Canis lupus familiaris: one gene and its partners. The protein of the gene in region 3 purifies or fractionates together with the protein of the main gene of each other region. This does not show direct contact. Links are inferred from orthologs where the notes say so. Each region holds a gene or a part of one and is shown on either strand. Other genes may lie near its edges. The genes, in order: TOM1, SMURF2 and CUEDC1.

Region 1 (4,260 bases), on a different chromosome or scaffold from region 3:
TGCGATGGTGGAAATAATAGAAACAATGATGAGGACAGCAAGAGCTAATTCACTCACAATGTGCCAGGCACTCCCGGGGCGGGGCGGGGTGGGGGGGTGGTCCTCGCTTCACTCTCACTACCACCCAACCCGGAGAGGCAGATGCTCTTGTAGCCACCATTCCACCCAGGAGGAAATAGAGGTTCAGAGCCCAAAGGCAGAGAATGAAGAAGCCTGAGGAATGGGGATGATGGAAGAGCATGAAAGCAACAGCTGGATCTGAAGGGGTCAGGAAGGGGGTCAGGGAAGGCCTCAGGGAGGAGGTGACAATGTCTGAGCTTTGAAGGATGCACACTGGAGCAGGCATTCCACGAAAGTGCTTGGGTATGAGGGTGGATGAGAGCTTTATGAGTTGAGTGACATCCCTGATAAGTACCACTGGAACTCGCTGTGCTCAGGGATGCCAATTCTACAGGGCCCTACTCACAATAGGGGGGTGGAGTTGGCAACCTTGAGATTATTTTACTACTATAGTTTACAGAACTACTAGGTCGTCAATAATCACAGGCAATCTCTTTCTCTAAAAGAGAAAACATGGAATACTGAAGGCATTTGCTCAAATGGCAGCTATTCTTCATTTAATTCTACTTTGAGAGCCTCTTCAGCTTTGGTTCAAATTTCATTGGTTCTGGGGAGTTCATCACACTTCACTACCAATTCACTGGGGGCCTGGGTGAGTCAGAGTCTCCACCTTTTCTCCAGCCTCTGTCTTCTCCTGTGTAAAATGAAGGGGATGGGCCAGAATGGAAGTTTTCAACATGTGGTTTCCAATCCAGTGGCATTAGCATCACCTGGGAATTTGTCAGTAATGCATATTCTTGGGCAAACTCCAGACCTACAGAGTCAGAAACTCTTGGGGTGGGGCCCAGTCAGCCATCTGTCTTTAACAAGTCTTCCAGGGAATTCCGATGAGAACCCTGAGTTAGAAGACCCCCAGGGTAAGGATCCTTCCAGGAGTAAAATTTGGTTTGGGCTCTGAAGTATTATGACTTAGTAGTATTCTCTTTGGACAGAGTATTTCTTGCCACAGACAGGCAACCCTCAGGATAGGAAGAGAAGCTGTTTTTTTTTGACTAGCTAAAGCCCAGAGCCCAGGTGAGCTTTTCTACAAAGGTTCAGCAAACGTGGCTGACTTTGAAGGTCAGAATTTTTTGTTTTAAAGTAGGAAGTCTCAAACTTGGCATGTGATGAGAGCAGTGGTATCTGTTGTTGGAGAAATAAAGATGAGGGGAGAGCCACTTTCTCTTTTCAGCTCCAAAACAATGACTCATTGCAGGGTGTGTGTGTGGCAGGCAGTGGGGAGGGTGTTCCTCAGAGGGCAGCTTCACCTCCCTGGTCCAGGAGCGCTCTGGTTCGCAAATTAATCCTGGACTTCTACTCTCCTCTTGGAGAAGTCTGATTACAAAACCTCACAAGAGCCACTGACAGCCTTGGTGCCGATGACATCGCAGAGCTGGGTTGACAGTTAAGTGAAGTTTGGCTTCCAAGACCATAAGAAAGGAAAAAATGTCTAAAAGGTCCAATTTTCCCAGTCTAGACTGAACGCTAAGGGCCATCAAGAGGTCGAAGGGAGAATATCACAGTTTCCTAATGCGGGGAGGCACATCCAGGCTGTCCCAAAGGGGAAGTGTTAGCGGTGTGGCCCAGGGCCTGTGGTTCCTCCCCGTGCTGATGCACAGCAAGGAGCACCTAGGAGACTCTCCACACAGCTATTTCCAGGGATTCCTGACCCTCACTTCCTGGCATCTCCCTAACAATGACGATAAATATATATTATCACTTTGTTTTATATTAGCAGGGCCATGTGCCAGGCACGGTTCCCAGTACTTTACAATTATTAAGGAGCTGAAGCTTCACAACAACCCCACGGAAGCAGGGGCTATTAATATGCCCCTAATTATAGGTGAGGAGGAAACAGAGGCGGCGATGTCAACAGAGGGCAGGAAGAGTCGGGAGGCCGGGGCTCGGAGTGAGCCTGTGCCTCCGGCCAGAGTGCCTGGCCCACCCGCCTACGAGAAACGAAGGAGGCGGAATCAGGAGGTTCCTGAGGTCGCTTCCAGCTCGGGAGCCTGCGACCGTGCCGCCGGCTGCTGCTGGTCTGGCGGGATCGCCAGGGTCCGGCCGGGGGCCGCGCGCAGCAGGGCTGCCGGGCCTGGTCCCCGCAAGTCGCCGGCCCCGACGCCAAGCGCGTCTCCGGATCCTGGGCGAATGGGCTTCTAGCCCCTCTCCGGTACCTGTGTCCCGAGAGCCTGGCGAGCCAAGAGGGAGACGGCCAGGCCCCGGCGGCCGGACCCGGGCTGCGGAAGGGACGAGGGAGACGGGCCAGTGGCCCGAGGGCCGTAAACCACGCTGCCCCTTCAGCCCCCGAAACTTTCTCCCCGGATTCGGGACCCCAGCAGCCACGCATTGGCTGAGCCGCGGCCACCAGGACCCGCCCCCTTTCTTTTGCTATTGGCTAGCCTAGGCATCCACCACAAGGCGAGGCTTCCTAGTGGAGCGCGGCTTTTGTCAATCAAGGTGGGCGGGAGGCTGGGCGGGGCCAGGTCGGGGAGAGACACGCCAGCCTAGTTCTCCCAGCCTCCCTCCAGAGGGTGGCTTGGGACCTGGAGGCGCCCCGGGGCCCCCCGGGGACCGAGGCTGGGTGCGGGGCCCTGCGGCGGGGCGAGGCGGCGCTCCGGGGACTCACCGATGCGCTGGCCCACCGGAGAGCTGAACGGGTTTCCCAGGAGAAAGTCCATCGCTGCGGGCGCCTCAGCCGCCAACCGGGGGAATCAGCTGACGGCAACCGCCGCGCTGCCGACCCGTCACGTGACGCGCCGGACGGCCCGCGAGGAGGCGCCTGTGGAGGCGGGGCGTAGGGAGGCGAGCGTGGCCACAGGCCCCGCCCCTGACGTGAAGGCCACAGGCCTCGCCCCTCGAGCCGGGCGGAGGGCGATGACCTCACGGCAACTCGCTCGGCGTCTGCGGACGTCACGCACGACGTGGGGCTGGGCGGGCCAGGGGCGTGGCCTCTCCAAGCCCCGCCCCAGGCCTTATTCAGGGGCGTGGCCCAGCACCGCGAGCTTCAGCGGAACAGGGTCTCGGAGCCGGGAAGTGCCTGGGGTAGGGTCACAGGGCAAGCTCAGACCCGGTTTCACGCCGGTGACGTCGCTAGGCCACGCCCCCACCGCCGGCGGCGACAGCATCTCTGGCTCGTCGTCTCCCAGCCCCGACAGAGCGCTTCCTCCCTGGACACAGAACCAGCCCAGTGACCCGCAGCGAGGAGCGGGCTGGAGCCCGGAGTAGCAGAGGCACCCGGAGGTGGTCACGGGTGGGCCTGGGACCCACCTCGGCTGTGATTCACACAGCGAGCTTCCATTTTTTCCGGATGCTGGAACTAGATCAAGGACTTTCTTCTTCTCTCTTTTTTTTTTTTAGGTCATAGGCTCCTTTGAGGACTTGAAGAAAACCATCAACCTTTCTGAAGAAAAAAGGGCAGAGAGACAATTTAACGTCAGGGACTTCCTAGGGTCCCAGAAGTCAGTGGACCCCAAGTTACGGACTTTAAGAATCTCAAAGGCCTTTCCTAGTTCTAGGATTCTGCTATCTTCCAACCTTCCTGTGTACCATGTTTTAGATATTTCACCCACACATTAGATCAGGTCGGACCTATTATGCTTTATTCTTTTGGTCATATGCAGTCTAGATACAATAATCACTGCTTTGGTAGTCTGGGCTACTGCTGGGAGCTTTAGTACTTAATCCACCACAGTATGTGATTTAAAAAAAATAAAAGATTTTATTTATTTATTTATCAGAGACATAGGCAGGAGAGGCAGGCTCACGGTGGGGAGACAGACCCCAGGACCCCAGGATCACACCCTGAGCTGAAGGCAGATGCTCAACCATTGAATCACCCAGGTGTCCCCAATTGGAAAGGCTAGGAATTGTACAAATATAGGATGATGGAGAACCTAAGCTAGAAGTTAATCACTTCCTTATGTTGACCTGTTTGAGCATACAGGGGCTGATACCTTTACTGTACAATATAAGAACTTTATGGAAGTCATGTACTCCTGTGCTTCAACAGTGCTCATGAGACCTATTCATAAATGCCCTTCTCCTCACCAGGCTAGCTACTCCGTGAGGGCTGGGATACTATGTCTACTTGACTCACCATCATTGTCTAGCACAGTGACTAATATATGAAAACTTATTTATTTTTAGAGATTTTATTTGAGA
Region 2 (3,647 bases), about 18 Mb from region 3:
AACACAACTAGGGGCAGGGAGCAGAAAAACCCAGCTAAGAGGGATGTGTGGAAATAAATATTCACATTACACATGAGGGGCGAGTCTCAGATTCAATGACACAGTGGGGGTTTAGTTTGCTTAGCACCTGTTTGGAAGTAATCAGGTAACGTAATTTTGAAAAATGAAATCTAAATCATGTCTTTATAAATCATGTTGGTGATACCATAGACTGCTAGGGTAGATTTCTTTTAAAGCTCTATTAAGTCATCATTATAAAGTTAAAAAGGCACTCAAAAGCGATGGTACTAGCCTGCTTTACTGTACGTTATGATAGTAGCATTTACTCCTGCATCCATTGGTTAGGACTTCTCTAATGTGTTCAGCATGGACTTCGTTTTTGGAAGATTGTAACAGTAGGCACAATCACACTGCACTAGTGCTTTAATATAACATACAAGAGATGAGTCTGCAGCCGATAAGGTACTACCGTGAAAGCTGACAACTGATGGAGTTTAGAAACCTTTTCTGTACATTTCAAGATGTTCTCGAGTGCTACTAAGACACAAGGTGTCTGGGAAGGAAAAGGTCAGTGGAAGCACGTTACCACCGCACAGGACTACGACTAGCTTGCATGTAGCGGTCCAATTTGGCTGAATGAAATAAATTCAAATGCTTCGAAACTACACAAGCAGTTCTCAACTCTTTTTTTCTAAACAGCAAAATTTCTGCTTCTTTTATCCCCGCCCGCCTCCACCTCCCACCTCTGGGAAAACTTACTTGGAATTCCAATACATAAAAGAGAGGACTTGGGAGCTGCTCCTGTACAAGGGGTTGAGGGTGGGGAGTTAGAGGCTCCAACTCAAATACCAACCAGGCCCCTCCTCTCCCTCCATCCCCTTCTCTCTTAAACCACTACTTCTGAGGCACCTCAGAGGAACCCCTTGGTTCGTGAACACAGACTGAAAACCAATCCATCAGATGAAAGAACACAAAGGGCCTATTCACTTGATAATTAAGCTGCAACATTTCCAAGGAGCTATCTCATCAAAATTTGCCCTTCTTGATTCACATCTGTGTAAGAAAAAATATATATAGTGCAGATTTCTGATAGTTGGATTTTAAAAGCCACCCATGACTTCAGATTTTTTCAATCCTTTACTCCAGAATTTTGGTTACCTTCTGGATCATGCAACATGCCACACACCTTGAAAGCTCAATCTGGGTATTTCAAAATCAGACACTGATCAACACCCAGGGAACTGGGATTCCCTTACCTCCAAAACAGAATTCTTCCGTTCTAAAGTAATTTATACCATAGATTCAGAATCACTATTTCTCCAGTAATCCTACCCCCTCCTCACCCCTACCTTCATTTTGTTAGGTAAAAACAGGGGTTTTCTAAGCTGGCTGAATAAAATTTTTCCTTTGTCATAATTTTAGCTGATTAAAATATTGAGCAGCTAAACAAAGATTGTGGATGGTTTACTTGATAGAAAGCTAGACCATAATTAAAATATAAATTAGGTGCACTTGTCATAGGAGACTTTGGTTTACAGAAATAGTATATATATTAAAGATACGCTGACCCAGCAAAAGAATGAAAATCCCATCCCATCCAACAATCTGAGGACCTATAAAAATGCAGTATTTCCATTTAAGATGAAGTAAATCCCAAATACCTGATCATACTGATTCAAGATAAAAAAATTAGGATTTTTTTAAAAGTCTCTTAAAAAAAGGAGCCCCTGAATGCATCTTACTGTATCAAATAAGCTAAGTTTAGACTAAATGGTTGCATTAGGAATCTGACAACCAAAATTATGTGGCTGTATTCCAGGAAGTTCGTGCTTGAAAAATATACAAAAGACTTACTTAGGCTAGTTTGAAACATATAATGCTTTTAAAATATAATGCTTTGCTATAGAAAAATGTAATTAAACATGTAAATGGCTTAATTGTTTTTTAAAGATAATGATTCCTTTAGCCAATTGTTTACAAAGGTAGAATAATTCAAAATAATTTTATTTATTTTTCTTTTACAAAGAGCAAGTACAGGAGCTGTTCAAAATCATGTATTCAATCAAAATGAAATGTGACGTGTACCGACTGCTGAAGTTGTCTTGATGTTTGAGAGACTTGAAATCTGTGGAGCAATTTGAATAGATTACCTTTTATAAAAATAGTAGTAGTCTTTAAGTGTAGAATACTGCCTAACTCTGGAAATGTAGGAAAAGTCAGCATTCTTTAGGTTCAAGATATTAATTTTAAATAGCAGCTGAGTGTGGCCTCATGGCAAAGCATAAAGACCTCTTTTTTTTCCTTGAAAAGGAATTTCAAAATTGTCCTTTCCCCTCACAGTGTCCTAAAAATCTTTTGGGGGGGGGGGGAGGCATTTTCCTGTATTTCAGCATTCCGCGAAACTTTGCTGAAAGGAGGCTGTCGGTCGGGGTATAAATAGAGTCCTGGGTAAATCCTTGAAGTCCGTCATTCCACAGCAAACCCACATGTTTCTTCAATGGCTGTTAGCAGCTTTTCATATAACTTTTCATAGCTTTCATAGGGCGGAATGTCTATTCGATTGAAGCTGTAAATGAGCAAATCAGATTGACACAGTTCATTCAGAATAAGCAAACTGGTCTAGCAAGTGTATACTAATACAGTCACATCACATTTCATGACACACAGAAAATTAAAAGAAAAAGTTGTACTCCTCTAAAGTAGAGACTGCCACTTTCAGGCTTTCCTACCAATTTCTGCATAATCTCAAATTCAAATCGGTTTAAACCTAACACCTACGTACATGGAATGCAGGGGAAAAGCTTCAAAAACAACTTACCAAGTGTGGGCTTTCGGCAGGTTGTTAGTGCAAGCATCAATCTGGTGTATGGTGAAGAGTCGTGGGCCTGCAGCGCCTGCAAAAGAAGTCAATGTGGGTCACGTCACTGTAGGTGTGTGTGTGAGTCTCCAAAATCTCAGAATAAAACTGATACGTAAACCACAAGGCCTAAGATGGAACCACTGGTGACTCCACATAAGCTGCCAAGGGCAGGAGAAAAAGAATCTGGGTCTTGAAAAATGAAATTGACCTTGGATAAACACTGGATTCCTTAATATGCTAGCATATCAATTTGAGAAAAGGCCCAGGATTGGAATCCTTTGCCAACTTCTTCTATTAAAAAATCAATGTGCCAAATGTATGAGAAGAAAAGTAAATGGATAAATTCAAGATCAAATATATATATACACACATTCAAAAAGATGACAACCTAAATGCAAATTTAGATTTCATGCCTCAAACCTGGCCGAGAGCAAAAGATTAGCAGTCCATGGAATAAATTCCAGTTAACATAAGACACCCCATAAAAGTGTATGTAGAAATATAGCTTCACTTTACGCTTCTGGGTAGTCTGCTAACAAGTTCTCCAAGTAAGGAATTAAGCACAACTCCAAGGATGCCTTCCCTGTCTGTGGACTTCCAACACGTGTGCTGCGGGCAACGCTGTCCTGTCTGGCTGTGTAGGTCTTCAGATGTGACTGGTGGCAGCAGCCTTGCAAATGAAGAGCTTCAGAGGGAAAGGAAGCAAGTGCCACCCAGCGAAGCGCCACAATCCTTAGAGATATTGCCAACTCGCCCCCAAATTAAATAGCTATGCCGCAGAAAATAA
Region 3 (3,647 bases):
CTCCATGCAGGGAGCCTGACGTGGGACTCGATCCCGGAGCCCCAGGGTCACACCCCAGGGCTGAAGGCTAAACCGCTGCGCCACCGGGGCTGCCCAAGATTTATTTATTCATTCATGAGAGACACAGAGAGAGGCAGAGACACGGGCAGAGGGAGAAGCAGGCTCCCTGTGGGGAGCCTGATGTGGGACTAGATCCCAGGACCCCAGGATCACGACCTGAGCCAAAGGCAGACACTCAAACACTAAACCACCCAGGCGCCCCAAAGCTCTTTCTTGGTTAGGGAAGAAGCCTGATCTTTGCCCCATTCCTCAAAAGGAAAAGTTAGGCTGAACCCCTGTCCTGTGGTGACGGCCCTGACATGTTGCCCCCCTTCTCCCCGGAGGGCCTTTGGGCAGCCCCTCTCCCTCTCCAGCCTGCCCTCAGAAGTGTCTTCCCCTTTCAGGAACCAGTGATGCCAATCCTGCTGTGTCTGAAGATGCCTTATTCAGGGACAAGTTGAAACATATGGGGAAATGTGAGTCCAGCCTATGCCCTTTCCTCATCTCTTCTAAGACAGGCCTTGTGGCCTCATAGGAGGGAGGTAGCCACCAGGAGCTTTTTAACGTAGCTGACTCTTGGTGAACCAAAGTGACATTTTAATCGCACAGGCTGGCTCCCTCAGCCTTCCTGCCTGTCTTCTCTCTGCAGCTGAGTCTGGCTACAAATTAAGTTTTAAATCCTCTTGAGCCAGCTGTCTGCCGAAAAATAATAATGTGCTGCACCCACCCCACTCCCACCCCAGTTTTAGAGTTCACAGCCTTTGGTGGCTTGAAGGCACTTGGCCAGGCCTGATGAGTGGGGAGGCCCGTGCTAGGCCCCCTTTCTGTGGGCAGGAGGCCCGAGGGGTTGGTGACCTCTCCCACAAAGTCCTGCCAACCAGGACACACCTACCACCACCCCCACCCCTCCTCCCCCCACACACAAGTGTGAATGAGGCTGCCATCCTTCCAGGCTCCATTTCAGGGAAAATCTCGGATTAGTCATGGAAATCCCAGAACCAACTCTGGAGGTGGTGAAGGGGGGCGGGGGAGGCGGCGGGAAAGACAGCCAAGAGGCTCGCTCGCCCGCTCGCTGTCTCTCGCAGCTGGGGCAGGAATACCCGGATCTCGGCTGCCTGCCTCGGTGGCCTCTGCTGCCCCTGCAGGGCTAGCCTGCTATGGCAGCCTCCCCGCTGCCACCCACCCCTCCCTTGCCACCGCATTCCTGTGGCCCGCCGCCTGCTCCCACCCCGGGGGCGGCCCTGCGGCTGCGGCTGCGGCTCACGGGTCTCTCTGCCCCAGCCACCCGGAGGAAGTTGTTCGAGCTGGCCAGGGCCTTCTCCGAGAAGACCAGGATGAGGAAGTCAAAGAGGAAACACTTGTCCAAGCACCAGTCGTATCCTTTCTGGCCTGGCTCGGGGGCGCTGAGGGCGCTGACCCCCTGGCCCAGCTCGAGGCTGTGCCCTCCCCTCCCCAGGGCTGCGGCTGCCCCTGGCCTGGAGCACCATGACCAGGCTGGGAGGAGGCCAGCATCTCCACTTCCTTCCGTGGGCTCCTCCCTGCCCAGTTGTCCCACGACATCTCCACTTTCTCATTGGGCTAATCTGCTCTTGAGAGAAAACGTGGTTCTTCCACTGAGCTCAGCAAACCCTTCCCTAATATCTTGAGTTGAGTTGATGCATAGATCTTGCTGCCTTCCCATTTCAAGCACATTGGGCCCTGCCTTCTCACTTTCAGGGCCTTGAGTAAAAATAAGGTTCTGCACGTTTTCACACAGACTCCCCACCGATGCTTGTCAAATAGGGCCCAGAATATTTTAAGCTGAACCCCAAAGGGGAATAGGGAGGAAGTCCCTTCTCCATCCCCAGTGATGGGAGCTGGGTGAGAAAGTCAGGGCCTGGCTGCTCACCAGACCCCAAGGAAAGGAGGCTTTGGGGAGCACTGGGGGCTAAGGCTGGTACTGTAGAAGAGTACTGGCTGGTACTGTCCTGAGCTTGGAGTGGGTGGTGGAGGGCCAGAGACAGGGAGTGGTAGACCTAGGAGGACGATGGCAGTGCCCACCCATCTCTGAGACAGTTTTCCTGAATGGCCCGGCAGGCTGGGAGCTGCAGTGTCAACGGCTAATCTTCTGGACGACATGGAGGGCCACACTTGTGGTGAGGCTAGGAGGGCAGGGGAGCATGAGCTGTAAATCGCTTGTGACTGGTGACTCTCCAAGAGGAGGGTCTGGGTATTTTGTGGGTGGACCCAACCTGGGGGACACATCGTGGGTAGGTGGGCAAGTGACCTGAAGAAATGGGTCCTCCTACTTGGTTTATATTGCCTCTCCCTTCCTTCCACACCCAGAAGGGGGCCCCAGCCGCACCTCCACCTAGATCTCTGCCTGGAGCACAAAGTGTCAGGTGCTGTTTCTGGGGACTCTTCTCTGAGGTGGGAGGGGGCAGACAGACCTACCCACGTGGAGAGGCCTCACCTCAAGAACCAAGTGCTGTGCAGTTTCAGTCTCTGTGCCCAAAGAACTTTCAGCGTTCATCTAGTCCCTCCCAAAGGCCATGTGGGTTGGGAGACACTGCCTTAGACCCTAGCAGGCCCAGAGCTGAACCTCATCCTCATGCCTCAGAGGCCCTTTGGTGGTCAGGAGACATCCAGAAACAAGGACTAGGAGGGTCTTAGAGGCCATATGGAGGGTATAGCTCCCCCACCCATTCTACAGATGAGGAAGCTGAGGAAAGAACTTGTCCAGGAGCTCAGTGATGGAACCAGGCCAGCATCCAGTTGTCCTAACCCCACACTCTGCTCCGGTGCCTCTGGGCACACCCACACATCCCTGCCCCACTGCAGGATCAGGAGGTGCCCCAGCAAACAAGGGGGATGGAGAGAATTGGGTCAGCCTGGGGGACCTGCCTGAGTGAGGTCCTGCGTGGTGGAGGATGAGGCAACTTCCCTCTGCTTTTCAGATGAAGACTTCCGTGGAAGGAGGCAGGAGGTGCCCAAGGCGGAGGAAGCCCTAAGGGAAGGACAGTAAGAGGTAAGGCCTAGAGCTACAGCTGACCAGAGACTGCCCGAGGCTGGGCCTGCTGTGCCCCGGACCCCAGCTGTCCTCCCAGGGATCCAGAGGCATTGGGTGCAGGCATCTAGATGGCATAGATCCTGGTTTTCTTCCCTGTTCTTGTGGCAGAGGACACAGTCTTCTGCATGGAAGCTAGTCTTTTGCGTTTCCTTTCACTTTTTGGTTATTTATTCATTTAGCAAAGTAATCACACCTGCCTGTACCAGACCCTGGGAACAGGAGGGGAAAAAGTCAGGTTTGACCTTAATAGTTTACAGCTTGTTTGAAAGACAGTCCAGGACACACACTACACAGTCAGAAGATGACTTGGGAAAAGTTGAACCGGCCTCACCAGCCCTGTGCTCACATACACATACACATACACATACACATACACATACACATACACAGCCCTGTGACTGTCCCGTTGCTGGCTTGGGGTGGGTGACATAAAGAAACAGTCTCTCTCAAGGCAGCTGTTTCTGGCTAGAGCCCTGGGCCCTCAGGCTGCTTCTCCTCTTCTGTGCATCCCTGGGGGCAAATCAGGGAGTGTCATCACCCCTCCAGGGCTCAGTGGAAC

What was found.
Region 1: the proteins of CUEDC1 (region 3) and TOM1 purify together in Homo sapiens (co-immunoprecipitation; 3 studies listed by BioGRID and IntAct, with this or other methods). This does not show direct contact. The link is inferred for Canis lupus familiaris from reciprocal best matches to the Homo sapiens genes CUEDC1 and TOM1.
Region 2: the proteins of CUEDC1 (region 3) and SMURF2 purify together in Homo sapiens (co-immunoprecipitation; 3 studies listed by BioGRID and IntAct, with this or other methods). This does not show direct contact. The link is inferred for Canis lupus familiaris from reciprocal best matches to the Homo sapiens genes CUEDC1 and SMURF2.

Annotation. Positions count from the first base shown.
Region 1 is NC_049231.1:29,818,453-29,822,712, forward strand, and holds the start of TOM1 (target of Myb protein 1), read right to left. Parts: upstream 2,885-4,260; 5' UTR 2,778-2,884; coding exon 2,726-2,777; intron 1-2,725.
Region 2 is NC_049230.1:14,572,407-14,576,053, reverse strand, and holds part of SMURF2 (E3 ubiquitin-protein ligase SMURF2), read right to left. Parts: intron 2,895-3,647; coding exon 2,819-2,894; intron 2,567-2,818; coding exon 2,467-2,566; 3' UTR 1-2,466. UniProt on the Homo sapiens protein: E3 ubiquitin-protein ligase which accepts ubiquitin from an E2 ubiquitin-conjugating enzyme in the form of a thioester and then directly transfers the ubiquitin to targeted substrates.
Region 3 is NC_049230.1:32,526,804-32,530,450, reverse strand, and holds part of CUEDC1 (CUE domain-containing protein 1), read left to right. Parts: intron 1-443; coding exon 444-515; intron 516-1,320; coding exon 1,321-1,414; intron 1,415-2,115; coding exon 2,116-2,174; intron 2,175-2,975; coding exon 2,976-3,043; 3' UTR 3,044-3,046; intron 3,047-3,647.